Lepisosteus oculatus: one gene and its partner. The protein of the gene in region 1 interacts with the protein of each later gene in a pairwise test. Links are inferred from orthologs where the notes say so. Each region holds a gene or a part of one and is shown on either strand. Other genes may lie near its edges.

Region 1 (10,410 bases):
CGGTGAAGATGAGAGTCATTTATTTACTGCATCAACAGTGAAATAAATTACTACACTTACATTCATAACTAATAATATCATTACTTTATAACTAACAAACTTCACATTATGGATGTTCACCACAGTAAACTATCACAGCATTTTCACATGACTGCTATGGGATTATCAGTCATTTGCACTGGTTGCTGTGGTTTAACATGCTTTGTGCTTTTCCATACAGGGCCATGAGACACCCTGGGATCCTAGAGCTGATGTGTGTAAGTAATATAGTAGTGCACTACAGTTCATTCCCAGTCAACACCTTATAGCAGAAGTAATGTAAAATATCCACACAAGTAAACTAGTGTGAAAATACAGGTCAGAGTAGTTCTGCTCTCTCTGGTCCTGTAGAATTGAAGGGTCTGCAGGTCTTTAATGCACCTGTACTCATCATGAGTTTCTTCTTGGCCCAACTGGTATACTGGTATATGTAATGTATTATTTGAGAGTTCATAGTCTTAGATTCCTTCACACCTGGCAGATCTGTGATCTCTGGATGAGATCCTTGGATCAGTTAGTTCTAGCACCCAATCAAGATAGATGGGGAAAATGGCATTTTCTCATCTATAAACATTCTTGTGTTCTTATCTTCTCTTTGCTCATTCAATTCTGTGTACACCAGGATTCACCTTTAAAACAAAAAAAGGGAACGAAAGTAGTTCAATGTAATGCATAAATTGTGTTTTCATCGAGAGCAGCATTATCACCAATAAGCCTGATCTCATCAGATCTCCAGCAGCCATATCACCCTGCAAGTCACAACTGGCAACCCACTAAAGCTAAGCAGGAGTGAGCCTGGTCAGTACCTGGATGGGAGACCTCCTGGGAAAAACTAAGGTTGCTGCTGGAAGAGGTGTTTGTAGGGAAAGCAGGGGGTGCTCACCCTGCAGTCTATGTGGGTCCTAATTCCCCAGTACAGTGATGGGGACACTCTACTGTAAAAAGGTCCTGTCTTTCGGATGAGACCTAAAACTGAGGTCCTGACTCTCTATGGTCATTAAAAATCCCAGGGCGTTTCTTGAAAAGAGTAGGGGTGTAACCCCAGCATCCTGGCCAAATTTCCCATTGGCCTTTATCAATCATGGCCTCCTAATATTCCTCATCTATGAATTGGCTTCATTACTCTGCTCTCCTCCTCACTGATCGCTGATGTGTGGTGAGTGTTCTGGAGCACTATGGCTGCCGTCACATCATCCAGGTGGATGCTGCACATTGGTGGTGGTGGAGGGGAGTCCCCAATACCTGTAAAGCGCTTTGAGTGGAGTGTCCAGAAAAGTGCTATATAAGTGTAAGCAATGATTATTATTATTATTATCATCACAGAAGCTAAGACAGACTGGGCCTGGTCAGTACTGGGACAGGGAAAACCAGGCTGCTGCTATAAGTGGTGTCGGTGGAACGGTAGGTGGCACACCTTCCTCTGGATCAGGCATATCCAAACCCATGCCCCAGTAACTTAACGGGGGACACAATGCTGTAAGAAGTACCATCTTTCAAGTGAGATATAAAACAAAGGTCCTGATTAATTGGTCATCAAAGATCCTTTTGCTGTTCTTAAGAGTAGGGCTGTTAACCCAAGTGTGACACCAAGATTCCACTCTGGGTTTGAACAATCGAGACTCTCTCCTTATTTCTACTGGTGAAATGGTGTAATAATAATAATAATAATAATAATAATAATAATAATAATAATTTCAGTAGTTAAAACTGTAATATTTTCTCATCACCAGCAGAGGACCCTCCTGTCCATAGAACAGTCTTCCTATAGTTATCGTCCATCACTTAATGAGCACTTGTGCAGCTCTGTGTCGTTGAATGTGTGTTTTGTGTGTCTGAGTGTGTTTCTCTGTGTCTGGGTCTGTCCCTGTCTGTTTTCCTGTATGTGAATGTGTATGTGTGTGTGGTTGTGTCTCTCTGTGTTTATTTGTGTCTGTGTGTTTCAGAGTTTATGAATCTTTCTGTGAGGGAATGATTTAGACCACAATAACACTAATCAGCCCCCAGATCCTTTGGATATTGTATTTTGTTCCCTGGGGTGGGTTGGTGTCCCACCCAGAGTGCACCCAGCTTGTGCCCGTTGCTTGCCAGGGGCAGCCATAATTGCAAGAAATGGTAAGAAAATGAATGTTTGGATGGATATTGTATTTTTATATTACCTAGTGGAGACTGGGCAAATATAACTATTTAGCAGTTCTTTTAAACCATATATTTTTGCTTATGGGTGCAGCAGTGTGGAGTTTCTAGACTCATGCCTGGAAGGTTGTGGATTCAAATTCCAGGTGACACACAAATACAAAACTCCTCCCTTCAGGACAGGTTTTCCATGCTCATGGAATTTCGTTACAGATTTGGGTCTGTCTCTTGTGTTATTAACACCCATTTCAAAATACAAAGCCTGCCCTTACTTCTACTTTAATAACTTCTCTCTTCATTGTATCTGTAGAGTTGTGGTCATGCACAGTTTGGTAAGATAGGACATTGGAATAAAAACAAAACATCTCTGATATGATCTGTGCAACCTTGTATGAAAGTCTAGATTTTCAGTACTGGCTGTGCATGGACTGCTGCTGTGGAGGAAGGGAATAGTTATGTGATATAATTGTATTGTGACTTAACCTCTCCTGCTCAGTGGTGATGATGATGATTGTTTGTATTATCTCAGATACACTTTACTTCATTCTTCACTGATCGCATGTTATTGTAGTGTTAGGAATGGTCATGCAAAGTGGTAGAAAGACATTTCATTTTAGCTGGTCTCTTATTTCTGATAACGACACTCCACCAGCTTCCTTGCTCTTTGAAGGGAGTGCGTGTGTCTGTAAAATGGAGCTGAAATTGGTATTCAGTGACACACAGGTGCCCACAGCAAAGAAGACATCTAAGCAGATTTTTTCAAGCAGTGAAAAGGAGAGGGATCTCAAACAGCTTGTCGTTTTTAATTAACCCCCAGGTCACTGCCACTGTGGGCCTGCCCTTGACAATGTCTCAGCCCAGACACTTCAAACTAAATTAAGAGAAAAGAAACAAACAGCTCCCCAACACAGTGACAGCTGAAGTTCTCCGAGGACAGGGACTGTTCGTCCAGCCTAAGACATAGGAGGATTGTTCATCACACCACGAACAACTCTTCTGTTTTCATCAGTTGTTTCATTAATGCAATATGCTAATTGTTTCTCCTATGTACAGTAGTTCCTTATCTATGCAGACCAGATCTCCATCGCTGGGACTAGGAAATGAGACACACCAGGCACTCTGTCCGCTTGTGCAAAACACAGACATGTGCAAAGCATGAAGAGCAACAGCAGCAGCATGTCTTAGATTGATCCCCTGCCTCCTAGTCAGGCATTCGTCATACTACGGCAGCTGTGATGAGGACAGTTGTTGGAGCTGTTCTTGTTTCCTGCTGCTCTCTTCCTCTGTCCTCCAGCGTGCAGGAGCTCTCACTCCTGACCATGCCTCCCTGACTGAGGGAAGCCAGGGACGACCTGGGAAGGATCGATCTTTTGGCACTTGCACAGCTGACCTGGGATTTGGCAGAACAAGGGCTCAGAAAGAGAGAGGGTGAGCACCCATCAGAATGCCAGGCAGATCTTTGATTTATCTTCCAAAAACTCTTAACAGTATGTGCAATTCAACTAAGACCTGAGCAAAAGTACTGAGAAGTCATAAAAACAGAAAATCCAGCATAAGGGACATTTATTCTCTAAACGTGGCACATTCATTTCCTCAAGACACACCAAATGCTCAGCCTAATGACTCCTCATACAGCGCCCAGAGTCAATACATTACTCCACTCCATTTACCAGGGGCTCACAGCTTAGTCACAAGCCGCAGTAATTTCATTTTTTTTCTTCGTTGAATGCTTTTGCTTGGCTGAACCGTTTTGTCAAAGAAAGTCAACTCATCTGCAGAGCAGAAATGTTTGCAATGAAGTGAAGGGGCAGTGGAGCAGAAGGGTAATACTGTCAGCCAAACACATATCCAGAAGCTGCTGAAGTTGAGCATGTCAGTGGGTTTTTAAACATTTATGTTTGGTGCGCTGTTTCTTTTGCAGTCTCCCCCAGGCTACTGCGTGCAAATCATCATGAATAATGTGGGAGGCGTCTCAGCTCCCCCTGCACACGTTCCTCCTGGGTGTCCAGGATCCAGGATTGAAGAAGCCTTTAGTGTCCGTCATTTACTTTCCTGCCCTACTGGCTCTTGACCTCAGCATGAAGACCTGCCTGGCTCACTGTGTGAGGTCAAGATGACAAAGCCTGATTCCCCCTTCACACAAGCTAATGCGATCTTCATTGTTGAAAAAAAACATTCAAGCATTTCATTACCTGAAGTAACTGTTTTTCTCTGTCTACTGAATTCCTCCAAGCGTCTGAGAGAGATGTTGAGTTTTCATGTTTATAAAACAGATCTATCCCACATTTTCTGTAAAGCACAGGCCTGGAGAGAAGCTGCTGTAATGCAGGCTAGAGTTCCAGATCAGATGAGAACGGATAGCATTAAGGTGTTTCTTCCTGTGTCTCCACCATTACTGACACTTATATAGTACTTTTCTGGACACTCCAGGCATAGCTCTTTACAGGTAATGGAGACTCCCCTGTACCACCACCAATGTGCAACCCCAGGATGATGCAACAGCAGCCATAGTGCACTAGTACACTTCAGCTATGATAAGGAGAAGAACAGAGTGATGAAGTCGATTCATAGATGGGGAGGCCATGATTGGTAAGGGCCAATGGGAAATTTGGTCAGGACGCCGGGGTTACGCCCCTACTCTTTTCAAGAAACGCCCTGGGATTTTTAATGACCACAGAGACTCAGGACCTAGAGTATAGTGTCCCCCTCACTATACTGGGGCATTAGAACCCACACAGACTGCAAGGTGACTGCCCCATGCTGGCCCCACTAACACATCCTCCAGCAGCAACCTTAGTTTTTCCCAGGAGGTCTCCCATCCAGGTACTGACCAGGCTCACACCTGCTGAGCTTCAGTGGGTTGCCAGTTATAAGTTGCATGGTGATATGGCTGCTGGCTATGGGCAGCTCTCATTGTCGATTTATTACACAGTGACACACAGATTATGTATACTCAAGATATTAAAGAATAAACATTATAAATGTAAGGAGGCCATTTAGTCAATTCACCTGTTTGGTAGGTATTAGCTAATCAATCCATGAATCTCATCCAGCTTTTTCCTGAAATAATCCAGGGTATGTTGTTCAACAACATGTCTAGGTACTTGGCTCAGGACTGCTATAGCCCTGTATGTCAAACAAAGTTATTTCTGTTCTGAGGTTTTTGTGCATTTCCTCATAGGTTCTATTTGCCTCTCCTGGCTGGTTTTCACTGTTGATACTGTATATGTCTGAAGATTTCGAGTAATGCTACAAATGTCCCCCTTTTCACAGTCGGTATACAGAGGTGAAGATGAAGATCCAGTGAACACACGACCAAGGCACTGAAACCCTGCTTCACCAGCACAGGCGCGAGTAGTGTTTCAGTGGTCTCCACTACGAGGCTGACTGAGGGCGAGTGAGGTTGAGGGGGGATGGGGGGAGGTTCAAAGCTCATGATGACAATCACAGCAGAGAAGGCAAGGCTCATCTTACCCTTTGAGTAACCAGGACTTCCATTAGTAAGAAAATGCCCAGATAAGTTGATAGAGATAAATTTAAACTTGGCTATGAACAGCTTCAGAGAGCTTCTGTGTATACATTTTCTGCTTCATTAACAGAGCTTCAGAATCCACATGCATTGGAATAACTGAGGTACTATCAAATTCCTAACAGCCAAGGCAATCTGAGTATCTGGTCTGGAATGCATGAAAAAGGAAAGACCATAGAGATTGTGACTGCTTAATTCTGCATAGAGGCTAATCAATTAATATTAATTCACCAATGTTGAAACAGCATCCAAATTAAGAAATGTTAGCTTCTCTGAGAATAGATGTGATGATCGGGCACAGTTTAAGGGTGGGGTCTCTGGCTGTAGCTCAGAAACAGTCAGAGACAGCCTGCTGAGCCAAAGCAGAGAACGCTTTTGGCAGTAAAATCAGCCTGGGGTCATGGGAGGTAAGGATGGATTGATGCCTTGTCTTTAATCTCTGTCTTTGTCCTATCCTTCCCATGCACAAACGCTCTAACTTACATGTTTCTAATGACATGTACTTCTTGTCTTGAATTTCTTTCCTTTGCCCAGTTCAGAGTAATTTTCCTCTGGCTGGTATGATGTATATATTTTTGCTGTGAAATGCAGCAAGGATTAACTTCCCGCAGGCAGGCGGTTACAATAATTGATGAGCCTGTTAGCCTGCCCTGCCATTCCTTGGAGAAAAGGCGGTGATTTCACACAGCTTCGTCAGAACTGCGTCAGAAGCAGAGCAGCCGTGGGGAGCACAGAGCCGAGCCGACGCCTCAGAGGCGCTCAGAGCTCAACGAGTGACCGTGAAAGAAAGTACGACAGAAGTGCTTCGGGGAGAACACGGGGAAAAAAACCACCAAGTTTTTAATATTATTAAAAAAAGAATAATAACAAAACATTTCGGTACCTTTATATGTAGATTTTCACATTTCTTTTTGATCGACAAATTAAAATACGAATCAATTTTCAACTGAAAGGCAGGCATTCGAGGGCTGAGTCGCAGTGAAAGCCGGAGCTGTCGAGGGTACACTCAAGCGCTGGAACACAGGAGTGTGCTTTCAGCACCTCGGACAGAGCACCACGCGTCATGGCGCCAGTGATTGCAGAGGGAGCGCAGTTCGGTAAGACCTTTGATTTTCTTCACGCGTTATGCCCTCCGACGGAACGTAACAGGCTGTCTGGATAGAGATTGCAGTTTACAATAACAGTTTTCAGCGAAAGAAAAAGGATCGCTTCATTGTGTCTGTAGAGAGGCCACATTGAATGAAAAATAATACCATTGAATTTAGTTCTAATTGCAAATTCCAGCATTTTTATATTTATTTTTCACGGCGTAATAATCGTATCAGCTATTGCCTTTATTTTCTGTATTTGTCATTAAAAGAAATCCCCCGTAAGTAAATGAGACATATTCAGTTATTTCATGCTGAGGACAAAGATAGGCAGATGACATGTGTTTGGATGAAAACCAAGGTAATTGGTAGATTTGTTTTGCTGCGATTTTGGTTTGTAGAAACATTCGCCGCTTTTCTACTCTTGGAAAGCACGATTGGAATAAAAGAATGATGTTTTTTTGTCTGTTACGGAAAGACCTGCAGCAAGTAGGATGTGGATTCTGGTGTGGCTGCTGAATCCCCAGGATTGTGCAATTCTGAGTCACTGTAGATTCCTGCCCTACTGTGTTACTTAGACCAGTGGACACACTGTCTGCTTCTGCAGAGAATCTTCTGGGAGGGGGAGGTGTGTGAGGGGGGTGGAAAGACAGAGTAGCACATCACGATGTCTGACAATGCTGCTGCCCCAGCCTGGGTGGTGAGGGCTAGACACATAGAAGTTGATAGGGGAAAGCAGAAAAGATAGAATCAGTGAGGAAGAGTGTAAACAAGGGTTAAACACACACACACACACACACACACACACACACACACACAACACACAGAAGACTCGGGGGACCTGTTTCAGACCAGTTGTGTTCTACTGATGTGTTGATTTCTCAGCTGCATTAACACAAGCTGCAGGCAACATGAACCACGCACTGCGCTGACGAAAATGGTTAATATCTTCTGATACATATAGACAGACGGACACAATCAAATGATGAATCATTTTCACTTCAGAGTGCCATTTCATAGTATACTCCATCTCATACGGATTTTCAAATTCAGGGCGCAACAGGGAACGGCGCAGTTTCAGGTTACCTGACATGTATCATTCTGTACCTCAACAAACAAGAGGTACAGAACTCAAATCAATGTATTAATATTAATTTAAATCAATAAAATTTACAATAATATTCAAACATTTCTATGAACCTCTCTAAGAAAGGGCTTAATACTAGTTGAAGTCATGATAGGGGAAAACAAGACAGATTGTGCACACAGGAATACACACAGACACACACAGAAACTGATGCTTGCACATACAAACACGTACACAAACCAGCGCTTACACATGCACGAATGGATGCTTACGCACAGATACTTGCACACACACACACAAACCTATGCTTGCACACAGAAACTGTCACTTGCACGCACACATAACCCAGTGCTTCCACACACACAAACTGATGCTTACACACAAGCCGATTCTTACACACACAAACATACAAAATGACACTTAAACTCAGTTTCTTGAGCACTCGAACGCCACACTGGCTCTGTAGTCCCAGTTTGCAGCTGCAGCCGTGCAGATTTCTCATGTCTGTTCTCTCCTGTATTGTAGCCGAGGTCCCGGCCGCAGTGGGAATCATCAGTGCCTTTGGACTGGTCTTCACCGTCTCTCTGTTCGCATGGATATGCTGCCAGCGCAAGTCAGCTAAATCCAACAAAACTCCTCCCTACAAGTTTGTGCACATGCTGAAGGGGGTGGACATCTATCCTGAGAGCCTCACCAACAAGAAGAAGTTCGGGGCTGATGAGAAAACAGAGCTGGCCAAGTCCACGCCCAGCCCTGCCAGCGCCAAGACCGCCCTCCACCTGGACCTGGAGAAGCGAGACCTCAACGGCAACTTCGCCAAGCCGCACCCCCGTGTGCGGAGCTCGCCCGAGCTGGACATGCCCTCCCCGCATGGCTGCTTCCCAGAGGAAGGCAAGGAGCCAGCCTCCCCGGAGAGCGTGCCCTCCAGCAAGGCGCTAACGCCGGCGGACAAGCCCCCCGACCGAGAAGCGGGGCTGGGGACCCTTTTCTTCTCGCTCGAGTACAACTTCGACAAGAAGGCCTTCATCGTCAACATCAAGGAGGCGCACGGGCTGTCCGCCATGGACGAGCAGTCTCTGACCTCCGACCCCTACGTCAAGATGACCATCTTGCCTGACAAGAAGTACAAGGTGAAGACCCGCGTGCTGAGGAAGACCCTCGATCCCGCCTTCGATGAGACGTTCAGCTTCTACGGGATCCCCTACAGCCGGGTGCCCGAGCTGGCTCTGCACTTCATGGTGTTGAGCTTCGACCGCTTCTCGCGGGATGACGTCATCGGCGAGGCTCTGGTGCCCCTGGCGGGGGTTGACCTCTCGGAGGGGCGTGTCCTCATGACCCGCGAGATCATCAAACGCAACGTCAGGGTAAATAGCGATTCTCGGGAGGGAGGGGGAGTCCACACAACACTGTCACACAGGGACAGAAAACACGCAGCGATCAAACACATTTCAGAAACAGAGCTTGTGCGCTGTAATGAAACAGAGACAAGATAAGCAGAGGAGGTTTTGCAGTTTATTTAAGTCTCAGTATTCAGAAACCTTAGATGCAAAGAAAACATCATCCCAGTGCATGTATTTTAGCATAACAAATACCTGAGAATTCAGAGTATTAAATACTAAATGAATATTAAATGAGTAATAAATATTAAATATTAAAAGAGTATTAAATAGAACCTATGACATTAGAACACACCTTTTTACAGAATGAATCATGGGTGCCTGGAACCAATTACCAAATAATTTTAAAGCTATTTTCTGCTTGGAGACGTTTTTAATTGCAATTTCCTAAATAGAAAAGATCGACAGAATGGCCTACTCTCATACTGTATGTACCTTATTCGCTATTTCGCTATTCAAGATGCCATATATGTATACAGTTGTGCAAAAGCATTACACAACTAACAGAATTAAGTGATCTTCAATTCACATTGATCTGAACCTTTAAAAATCTGATATCCATAACACAAGGTCAGCTAAAGAAGAGCAGTCAATATGAAGGGCTGTGGTAGCTAATCCATCACATTTACCAATCAAATCTAATTGACTCATTGTCAGGTCTTCTTTTCAATATGTCCATACAGTTAAATGGCTATTTTGTATACTACAAAATACGTATCAAGATCAACTGTTGGATTAAAACAAAACAGATACTACAACAGTAAAGTATTATTACAGGAATGTTTTGGTTTCAAGAAGGACTAATACAGAAATCAAAAGAACAGTGTAAAGTGTTTGATTTTTTTTACAGCTGTGTGTATATTTTTTTCTAACCATTTCAGAACAGACAGCAATATGGAAATTATAAAATGAAATCAACCTTTTCCTCCTCTGTTTTCTTTTACGTTGGATCAAGGTAAAATATAAGCGAGGGTGAACACATGTTCGGAGACTCTCCGTGAAGTGATTGGTGAAGAAATGAAAAAGATAAATAGCTCTGGAGAAAGGCAGCAATATCACACTGCACATAGACATGAGCAATACTGGTATCGAAGGTGATGAGCTCTGGTTTTCATTCCCTCTCTCTGTGTCTCTGCA
Region 2 (10,210 bases), on another chromosome or scaffold:
CCGGCTTGACTTTTTCAATAAGGTCCACCAGCTTGTTGTTGCTCTTCATCATTCCCCCTGGCATCACAAACACCTTGGTGCCAGTCACTGCACAGAAGAAGAAATCAACATCACTATAGCAAAGCAACAGGCATCCTAAAGGCAGAGAGGTCTCCCATTTCATTTGGTACCGCCATTCCCTCCTGCGTGTGCAAAGAAGGAGGCTTGCAAGTCAATGTGGATGGGTTAGGGGAGACTGCCTACTCCTCCTCATTCTCCCCTGTGCGGCTGCAGGATTCATGACTACAAACTGAGATACAAAAACTCAGCTGGCTATTTCTAATTGGGTGTGTAGCAGAAAAATAAATGTTGATTCTATGGGATTTGAAAAAAAAGTACAGCAGGAAAGAAAGATCTTGGAGAGCAGTCTAGTAAAGTAGCAAAATAACACAGGACTCATTATAAACAAGGTCATTTGTTTTGTAGTTGGCAGCTGATTGATCCAGGTTTTCATCCAAATGTTCCTTAAGGGAAGCCAGGGTATCAGCTTCAACAGGTTGGCTTGCTAGCTTGATTCAGACGCCCACAACCCTTTGGGTACAGAAGAGCCTCTTGGTCTCAATTGTAATTGCACTTCCCCATTGGCTTCTCAATGGCTAATGCATAACACTCTGCATTACTTACTTTGACCTAGTCTAGGAAACGTATCACAGTAGAAAACCACACACAAGTCATATTGTAGGGCAGGTAGGACAGGGATGTAAATAGAAAAAATATGCAAATGCCTTAAACAGCCCCTTTAACTTGTAAGCAATCAAAAAGGGCACATGCACACTACCACGCAACTACGACACCCATTTAATAGTTTGACATCTCAACCTTTCTCTGCACAAGCACCACATCCAGCAGACCGGCTTGGCACAACACACAATCGCCAGCCTAGACGTCACTAATGACACTCAGGAACCCACCTTGGCAGTTGTCATCTCCTGCCCCATCTTCCAGCTTCCTCTTCTTGGTGTTCTGCTGCAACGCAACAGTTTCATTTAAACATAAGTGGCCTGTCGCAGCTCTGCCTGGGCACTGTGCTTTTCTCACAAGGTTAGGAAAATGAACGCATGCCTTTAGCTCAGGAGATTGAATTAAATCAGTATGTTAAGCCAGTCTAGTGCAGGGAGAATAGCTTCCAGGTTATTTATTTTTTTTTTTACACCCACCAACTTGGAATCAGCTGACTCAGATCAGATCAAATCTAAAACCCGTACTGGCCTGCAAGAATAGAGGGCCAGCATCTAACAGTCCTCGTCCCTCTGGCGAACCAATCCGGGCCTGCCCGATCCAGTCTGGTTCTTATATATATGACACACGATGTCACAGACGGTGTAAGAGGAGAGTCACTGGGCAGAAAAGCTTCTCTGAGAGAGCACCGGTTTCCATCGAACAGGAAACACTAAGAATGTCCCCAACACTACAGGATAAAAAATAGAATACTCTTGGCATATTTCGTGCGATGGCACCTCAGATTTTACCTCATGCCTGCTGTTGGCGATTCCAAACGAATTTAAAACAATTGTTACAATGACAAATTTTCACTTTTCTACAAAAAAAAAATCTAAGACCAATTGTTTTGTGGTACAATTTTCTCTTAATCAAGGGTACAGACATGAAATAATAGCCTAAATAAAAGGTGGGCTGCAGGAAAATAACTGAAAATGTTGGGGAGGAAAGTATGAAAAGACCTCATTTGCTCCTAGCTTGTACGAAGGCCATAGTATTTAGATGAACTGATAATTCCATGTGGGAAGGGTATGTTAAAAATAGAACCATTGTCAATTCTGCATTGAAAACAAAATATTAAACCTCCATGTAAATTAGCCCTCAAACAGGCTCAGCCATCAATCCAACTGTTTGGACTGATCGGTTTTATCAGCTTTTAAAAAACAAGGCTCAAGAGGAACAGCATTATACTCACAGGCTCCAGCCCATCGTGGCTGTTTGTGAGGATGATGGGGTCAGGCACGGATAAATTGATCTCTGAATGGATGTCTTTCAGCTCAATGATGTTTAAGATCGGGTCCTGTAGAACAGCAGATCAAGGCACAATGAAAACACATGTGAACGTCAGCAGCAAAAGGTTCTGCCTTGAAACCGGACCACAGCCTTCATCTGAAGAGTCCTGTCAAACCACCAGCCTTGGAGACACGTAACTTTATCCTTTCCTTTAACATCCAAGGAGTGATGATTAGTCCTTGAGCTCAGAGACCTCAGCTTGTTTTAAGACCTCATTAGGCTTTAACTGTTCCTTCGTCAAAACAGAAAACACAAGTCCTTTCCCCCCAAGCATATCTGCTTTTTAACATTTTTCGTTAGTTCCCTTCTTGAGGAAATAACCACAAGGCAACAGAGAAACATTTCTCTCTCCCGTTCGGCTGAGCAAGGGGTAAAGCTCTATTCGCTCACCATATGACAGTCACACAGCATTGGTCACGTACTCGGCAGTGATCGTTCAAACCAAGCACCAGACCTTAAATCTCTTCAGTAACTCCAGAAAATGTGAGGCTCCACGTTACTGAACTCAATTCTAGCTTGATTCACACATTGATTCCAGCACTGCTGTGGTGCCCAAGACGTAAGGCTGCTAACTTAGAAATGTTAATTAACTTCACCCAGTACAATTCATGGTTCTGGGAGTGCGGTGACCTTTTTAAGCCTCTCTCGGACGTAGATATCTGGCTACACGGAGGGGGCTTACACCCTCTCCAGAACTTCGATCTGCACGAAGGTGGTTATTTTTCTCCTCTGCGGTATTATTGCCATCCCATCAGCTCTCCGACCCAAAGGTCTGGCTAGGGTGTAGTAAGCGTTGATTTCAGCACAATGAACAGCAAGTCGTGTAGGTGAACCAGCAGGGGGCAATCTTCTGTTGAAGACAGAATTACTAATTGAAGAGCCCCACTATGGGGACAGGGAATACCGTGCTGTACAATGATTTCAGATGAGATTGAACTAATGTCCTGATTATTTGGTTGTTAAAAGATCCCTTGAAACAGTTTTTCCAGAATTGGTATGTTAAGCAAGCATCTTGACTAAATCCCATTCTGGGCTTGCATGATCCAGCATGGCTAAACGTCTGGAGTAATTCTCACCACAACTGATTGGTGATTTGCTTTTCAAAGGTGAATAAAGTGCTCTGGGAACCACTAACAAGGAAAGTGCAGTTTAAACGCAATTCGTCTTCTTCCAGGTCTCCTCAGCTGTGGATAGGAGCTCTTACACAACGAAAACCGCGCAAACATAACGGTAAAAATCGAAAGACTTACCTTAAGAAAATGATCGAGTTCCAGTAACTTCTTTGGAAAGAAATTTGCGACTAAGTCTTCTGCCTAGAAAAGTAAACATTGGGAAATGCGAGCTCTAAGTACAGTACAACTTAGTTTTTTATTTACGTTAAAAGAATCGTTTTAATTTGAAAGCAAAAGTACTTACTTCACCGGTGATTCGTTCTCTGAAAGCATCAACCTGTAGAAAGAGTAAACGTAAATCGGGGTCCACAACTAGACTGTCAAAGACTGAAACGTTACCCGTCTGTGTAGAACATTGCCAAGGCTGTGCATTTAATACAGTAACGTAAGATTACGCTTGAAACAGAATACAGCACAAATGCAATAACACGTGAACATGATGCTGGCCAATATATCTACTGGGTGCAAGATTTTTCATTCGTTTTCGCTGTCTGTAGCTTCATCGGGACTGTCTCCTGAACCGAATTGTTTTGTCACTCAGTTTTTATATAAATATATGAGCACATGCGCCGTGCGACTCTGAAGATATAGATTTCGAATAAGATAAACACCCAAGATATCCGGCTCCAAGGAAGTAGCTGTTGAAGGGACAGCAAAAATGTTTACGATCGTTTTTATTCTTTGACACAGCTCTTGGGATTGGACCCGGACATTCACTCAAAACAATAAACAGGACACGTGTCAAAAAACACGAATTCCAAACGCAGGCCAAATCGCACTGAATTTATTGTGCATTACAGGCGCTACGATCATACTATTATTTCACATTATGGAAAAGACTCAACCACAAACGCCTTAATTTCGACAGCAGCAGACACGCACCTCCGGCCAGAATGAAAGAAGGGGCAATACTATTGGAAATATCGGAATATACGGAAATATCCTGTTTTAACTTCAGATAATTCCATATAAATCGACATACGCAGAGCAATTATGACTATATCTGTGAAGCACAGCGCGGGAAAGCCAGGCGATTATGCTAGGCACTTATTTAATACCCCGGCCTTGTGTTACAGAAAAATTTCCGACTGTTCAAATTTCAACACCACATCCCCCTCGCGTCAGTCTTTCTCGGATTACCGTCTCTTACCTTAGTTTTGATTTCATTGTCCACTTTGAGGAGAGAAGACATTCTATTTTCAGACAAATAGGGAAGGGAATCTGAGATCGTATTAACAGAAATAACCGTGTGGCTCCTTTCAGCTCCTATTCACAGCCACAAGGTATCAAAGGGAGAGAACGAGAAATGACGTAGAAAAGCCGCGACGACAATGAGAGGCGAGGAAAATCACCCAACCACGTGGAAGTAGCGTGAAGCTGGCTACACTAAGCGACACGAATGACCCGGAAGTGTATGTCAATAGCCGAATTTCAATCAAAATAAAAGACTTTCAGCTACCACAGCAGCTTTTGAGGAGTAAAGCAACATTAAGCGAAGTGACAAGCAGCTGAAACACCTGCTTTATTTCGTCATGGTTAATTTGAGAGAGTCCTTTTTTAAATTTTAAATCGCCTCCACTTATCTCCAAGTTTGACAAATCTAAGATTATTAGAAGTTTGTATTAATTTTACAGCCCCTTTCTACTACTGTAATATACTGCTATATTTTTTTTTCATAAAAATGTTTCTGTTCAATGAAAAAGGTTTTAAGATGCAAGCTTTTAAAGGAGTTGTATCTGAAATTTGTAATTAAATAAAATCCTTTATTATATTTAAATTCAATCATTTTTTTAAACTATAACCAGGGACAAAAACATTTTGTGCACAATCAAAAGTGGTGAAACATACAATGTTAAGACAGTCAGTCAATAGCAAATCACCCTTCTTCATTCCGTTTTAAGTTTTTATTAATATTGTTGGTCTGGGTGGATCACCTCTAGAAAAACTGCAGTGCAGAATTGGATGGGGAAAATTTGTGCCTCTCCAAAGGTGGATGCAATCTATTGCACAGACCCTCAGCTGATAGAAAATCACCTTGTTTTTGTCAGACAAGTGTCTCTGTCAAAACTGCTGGGGTCTGTAGAGCACCTCCCATCCCCAGACTGAGACCGTGCACTGATGGACAGGGAGCGGTCTCACCCACCTCCCGACCAAACACAAATTTGTGCCTCTTCAAAAATACCTCATATCTATTCTACAGACCCTCAGCTTATAGAAAATCGCCATGGTCTTGTCAGATAAGTGTCTTTGCTAAAGTTGCTGGGGTTTATAAGACCGTAAAGTACGGGCCTTGTGTAGAATCACGTGATCCGCAGAGCACCATATTACCAGCAGTTGGTTATCATTCTCTTGTCTTTATTTATTTATGCATAAACAATAACAACAAATACAATACAAACAAGCGTACATATAACATTTTACGACAAAAACATCGTCAGGGGGTACATATTACAAAATAAATTCAAATTATGAAAAACGTTTAATCTTTCTCTTATGTCCATCCAGGGTTAGAATCACAGGTATCTGTGTAATCTGCATTGTCATGAAACATTTGAAAGAAACTATAATTAGCATCTGCAAATACAAATATAACTGATTTACAGAATATGACATGTATTGCGATATGTTGTAAATCAGTATACGCCTTTAAAGCAATGTAGCTTAACATCTGCTACAGCAGATGAATGAATAGGTATCGTTAACTTATATTCATAGGAAAAACACAATTTGGCATCATCATGGTCAGAAGCGGGAGCCTAAAATGATATAAAGAAACACCTGTCAAACCCAGCGCGATCCACTCGTCTCTCCCGGTTTGAGAGTGCGCATGTACCCTCTTGATGACGTCGGGCGACTTCCTGTCACGTGGGGGCCCGTGTTTACCGCAGATGTAAACAGAAACTGTGGGGAGAAGAGCTTCGTGGCCGAGCTCCGGAGGCAGGCGAGAAGCTGGCTTGTAAAAGAAGAAGACCGTGCCATCGAGTAGATCGCGCTGCTTCTTTGTTGGATGACCTTTGCAGACTTGCACATCTGACAGACGGCCATGGACTCCCCCGTGAGCTTGAAGGCGCATTTTAAGGGACGGGCGGAGAGCCTGCTGGTGTCGGACTCGGAGAGGACGCGCTGGGAGGCGGTGGAAGTGGCGGTGAGCCTCCGGCGCGGCGGTCGGACCTCGGCGTCGGCCTCCCCCCCCCCCAGACACGGCCCTTCTCGAAGTTTCTCCTCAGTTTAAAATCCTGCTTTGCTTCCGTTTCAGGGCCAGTTTGAAATTCCGACGCGCTGTGTATGCGTACGGGCGATAATAGGATTTCCGTGCCGTGCGTGATGTCAGACATTAGAAACGTCATAAATCGTAATCGCAACGAGTAGCCCTTATATCCAATTAATAAAGACCTGGCTCATTCTTTTACACACACTGTACTGTGTTGGTAGCAAAACTATCAATACAGGAGTCATAAAAGAGTCGTGAATGACTGCCCGAGGTTCTGTGCGTGAACTGGGAAAATACCACAAATATGTTTACCTTAACAATCGAAATCATAAATTACAATTAGTTCAAATCTACTTGGAAAACAACCTTATCTGTTATGAACGCTGGGTAGGAGGGCTGCCTTGTTTGCTCCTACAGATCGGCGCCGTTTTAATTTTTTTTTTAAGAATACTTATGTCATATAAAGAGGAGAAATGTTTCTGACAGGTTTGTGGGGCATTGAAGAAACACTGTGTTAAAGGTCACGAAGGCATGACCTTTCGATACCGGAACAAAACGGAGACATTGTATTATTTTCCTGCAGGCGAGTGAGTCATCCGCGGTGACGCAGCATGTCCTTAATGCTTACAGTCGAGATGGAAACCACTCGCATCTGTTCTCCTCGCCCTTACGGAGAGATCAAACAAACAGCCCATAGTAATCAGGAACAGTTTGGAAATGCACATATCCACCCGCGGTGCCCCCATCAGAGTAGAAAGTGAGAAAAAAGAAGACTCGTCCCGTGTAAATGTTGTTTTAGATGGTCCGGCCACCTGCCCGAAAACCATTTTGCATTCTTTGGCGTTTTATTGTGAATACTGTATCTGGCTTGGGACAGCTCTTTCAGAGCACAACATCCCTACATAGGTTCACAGTACATATTGCATGTTAGTCAACATACAATAGGATGACTAAAAACAACAGCTCTTTTCCATTAAAGCTACAGAAAGACAGCGGATCAGTTGCAGCGACCTGAAAGCGCCGTTACAGCTGGAGTACAGGCCGGTGTTGGCACGCAGCTCCATGAACTAGTCCTTGAGACCAGTGGCAACGAATCTGGCCGCTGAAATGAGCCCGCAGCTCCGTACTGAACTTGGTCTCAGTTGCAACAGCTGCTGCCCTCTAGAGCTCACTGAGCAGGGAAATCGCCTCTTCGCATGGCTTAACTTTAAACGAATTAACAGCGTACTAAGCGGAACTTGGGGTCACATTAGAACCTTCTCGAATATAGTGGAAATATCGTCACTAAGTAATGAATTTATGCGTCCGTGGCTTTTTGTTAATTTAATATTATCCTAATATTTAACTAAAATCGCCTTTCAGACACACCGCAATTATCCATAATGAAGTTAATTAGTAAACGTGTTTATTAATAAAAGTGTAATTTATTTATAATGAAGTTTAATGCTGTATTACAGCAAATGTATAGAGCCCTTAGTATGCGATTGTGACTTTTCAGATGTCCCGGGAAGTGGACATAGCTGAAAGTAAATACATCTTTAAATTGGGTGTAAATTTCAGATGTGTTCTGTCTGCAATGGTATAAATGTATCTCAATACATAAAATTAAAATAGCAACGTGTTCGCTTATTAGTCTGTCGGATCTCCGTAGGAATCTTATCTCATCAATGGGAATAAAAGCGGCTATAATACAAGTTCAAACTGAAACCCGCAACTACTGTTCTCGTTTGTTTCGTTCCCTTATCTGCTATATTTTTAACATAAACGCCGTTCTAGAATTTAAAATAACATTACATTGCCAGGGACATTCAAATATAACTATGGCCTATATGTTAATTTACTGATTAGAGTGAGTGCACGTTCTCCCCACGTCCAGGTGGGTTTCCTCGGGGTGCAACAGTTATCGCCCACAGTCCAAAGACATGCTGGTAGATTAACTGTCCTTAGTTAGAGAGTGTGCGTGTCTGTCTGTCTGTGTGTGTGTGTGCCCTGTGACAAAGTTGTCTCCTGCCCAGGGTGCACCCTGCCTCGTGCTTGTTGCTTGCTGGGAGAGGCTCCAGCTCCCCTGCGACCCTAAATTGGATGAAGTGGTAAAAAAAATGGACTGATAGAATCAACTGCATGGGATACAGCAGTAACAATATTAACAACAGCTTGTTTTAGAGAAGCAGGGCGATTGTTAATAAACTTGCCTAGCAGCTACCCCGTTAAGCAAGCATGACGAGCCTTTTCCAAGTGCTTATGTAAAACAGTGGCAGAGGAATTTTCTGTAATTAAATTTGCCAAATTCTCTTGTGGTGTGGGTAAAACGCCAGTGACAGCTTTCTGTGCATGCCTTCCCCACATGATAAGGGCATTAGTATAGTTGCTCTCTTATCTTGGGTCTGAAAATTAGAACGGAAGGCTTAGTGAAGCATAAAATGTTCTTTTTAATTAATTGAAACGGCTTTCCTGAGCCCCATGACATGCAATTCAATGTGGTTCTCTAGAGGAAGAGGAAAAAACCCCAATAGTTTCAACACAGCAGATTAGAGCTCATGTTTTGCCCCACCTAATTACATGATACTTTGGCTTATCACCACCTTCTCATGAAAACGTTCCTCATCTTAGCCAGGTTTGAGAAGCCCTAAGTTGTGGCTTTCATGTTTAAAGAATAGAATGCCTAAAACGGAACTATGGTGGGATGTTTTTTTTAACTTTTAAAGACATCTAAGGCATTAAGGCTTATTTGTTCAGAAAGGGCTGTATTTTTTGTGTGCTCATTCTCTCAGCTGGACTAAGGTCTGTGCCACACATGCTTTATGCAGCAGCTTTGCAATCCTGTAAACTCAAATGCATGCCTCCTTAACAAAAAAGAAACCTGACAGCAATAAAAGTAAGACTAGAGGATGCCATTGGGTTTGACTCTCTCATTTGATCGTTAGCTGCTGAATTGAATTGAGCATCTTGCCCAGGTGCGTCTTAAATGATCTCAGGTTGATCACTTAGCTTCACCGCCATTGCCAAGTTGTTTGTTCTGAAGCAGACACCCACAACTTATCGTGTAAAGGCGTGTCTCCAATTTGCGGTTATAAATTAACTTATTTTTCTCCACGTGTCAGCAGCATTATAAGATTTATATGTTAAGCAAGGCTGGGGCCGTGTCAAGGCTATAGGAGACCTCTAAAGTGAACCAGGCTGCTCCTGTATGTGGTATTTCCACACTAGTGCTACAAATTGCCCTTTAGCTGAGATATTAAACCAATATCCTGACTACTTGGTCTTTAAAGACCCTATGGAACTATTAGAGGTTTTAACCCGGTCTCCTAAGTAAACTCCACTTTGGGCTTGTGCGATTTGGTGTCTCTCCTTTTGCCCCTTAATTGATATGATGAAGAATTTGTCACTTGTTCATGAGATCCACGTGACACTCAGGTGGATGGTGCACTTCACCACTGGATGAAGTGATTCCTCTTTCATTGTATGTGTGACCAACTTCACAAGTACAAGCAGTTATTTATTATTGTAACTTGCGTCCTTGTGGTTTCTTAATTGTGTTGACTGGATTGACATTTTCAAGATGCATACCAAGTAAAATGCAGTGCAGAGAGGGTTGTAACTTGGCTTTGTTTCAGCTGTCAGGCAGCTGTCTAAAGGAAATAAAATGTTGATTCTTTATTGCAGGTGAAACATTCTTTTCGGTTAAGCGATGTGCAAATAAAATACTTAGATGAGGACAATGAAGAGGTAAGACAAGTTTTTATATTTTTTTTAACTAAAATGCATACATTCCCAGTGA

The links. The genes of interacting proteins can lie anywhere in the genome.
Region 2: the proteins of syt4 (region 1) and nbr1a interact in binary tests that used the Homo sapiens proteins (3 or more experiments, as listed by UniProt). The two-hybrid records come from large-scale screens. The link is inferred for Lepisosteus oculatus from reciprocal best matches to the Homo sapiens genes SYT4 and NBR1.

The regions. Positions count from the first base shown.
Region 1 is NC_090696.1:29,394,602-29,405,011, reverse strand, and holds the start of syt4 (synaptotagmin-4), read left to right. Parts: upstream 1-6,408; 5' UTR 6,409-6,764; coding exon 6,765-6,798; intron 6,799-8,401; coding exon 8,402-9,240; intron 9,241-10,410. UniProt on the Homo sapiens protein: Synaptotagmin family member which does not bind Ca(2+). Involved in neuronal dense core vesicles (DCVs) mobility through its interaction with KIF1A.
Region 2 is NC_090723.1:3,608,372-3,618,581, reverse strand, and holds the start of nbr1a (NBR1 autophagy cargo receptor a), read left to right. Parts: upstream 1-5,911; 5' UTR 5,912-6,264; coding exon 6,265-6,366; intron 6,367-10,095; coding exon 10,096-10,158; intron 10,159-10,210. Other genes in the region: psme3 (proteasome activator complex subunit 3), read right to left, coding at 1-87, 951-1,005, 1,952-2,056, 3,300-3,362, 3,466-3,498, 4,372-4,413. UniProt on the Homo sapiens protein: Ubiquitin-binding autophagy adapter that participates in different processes including host defense or intracellular homeostasis.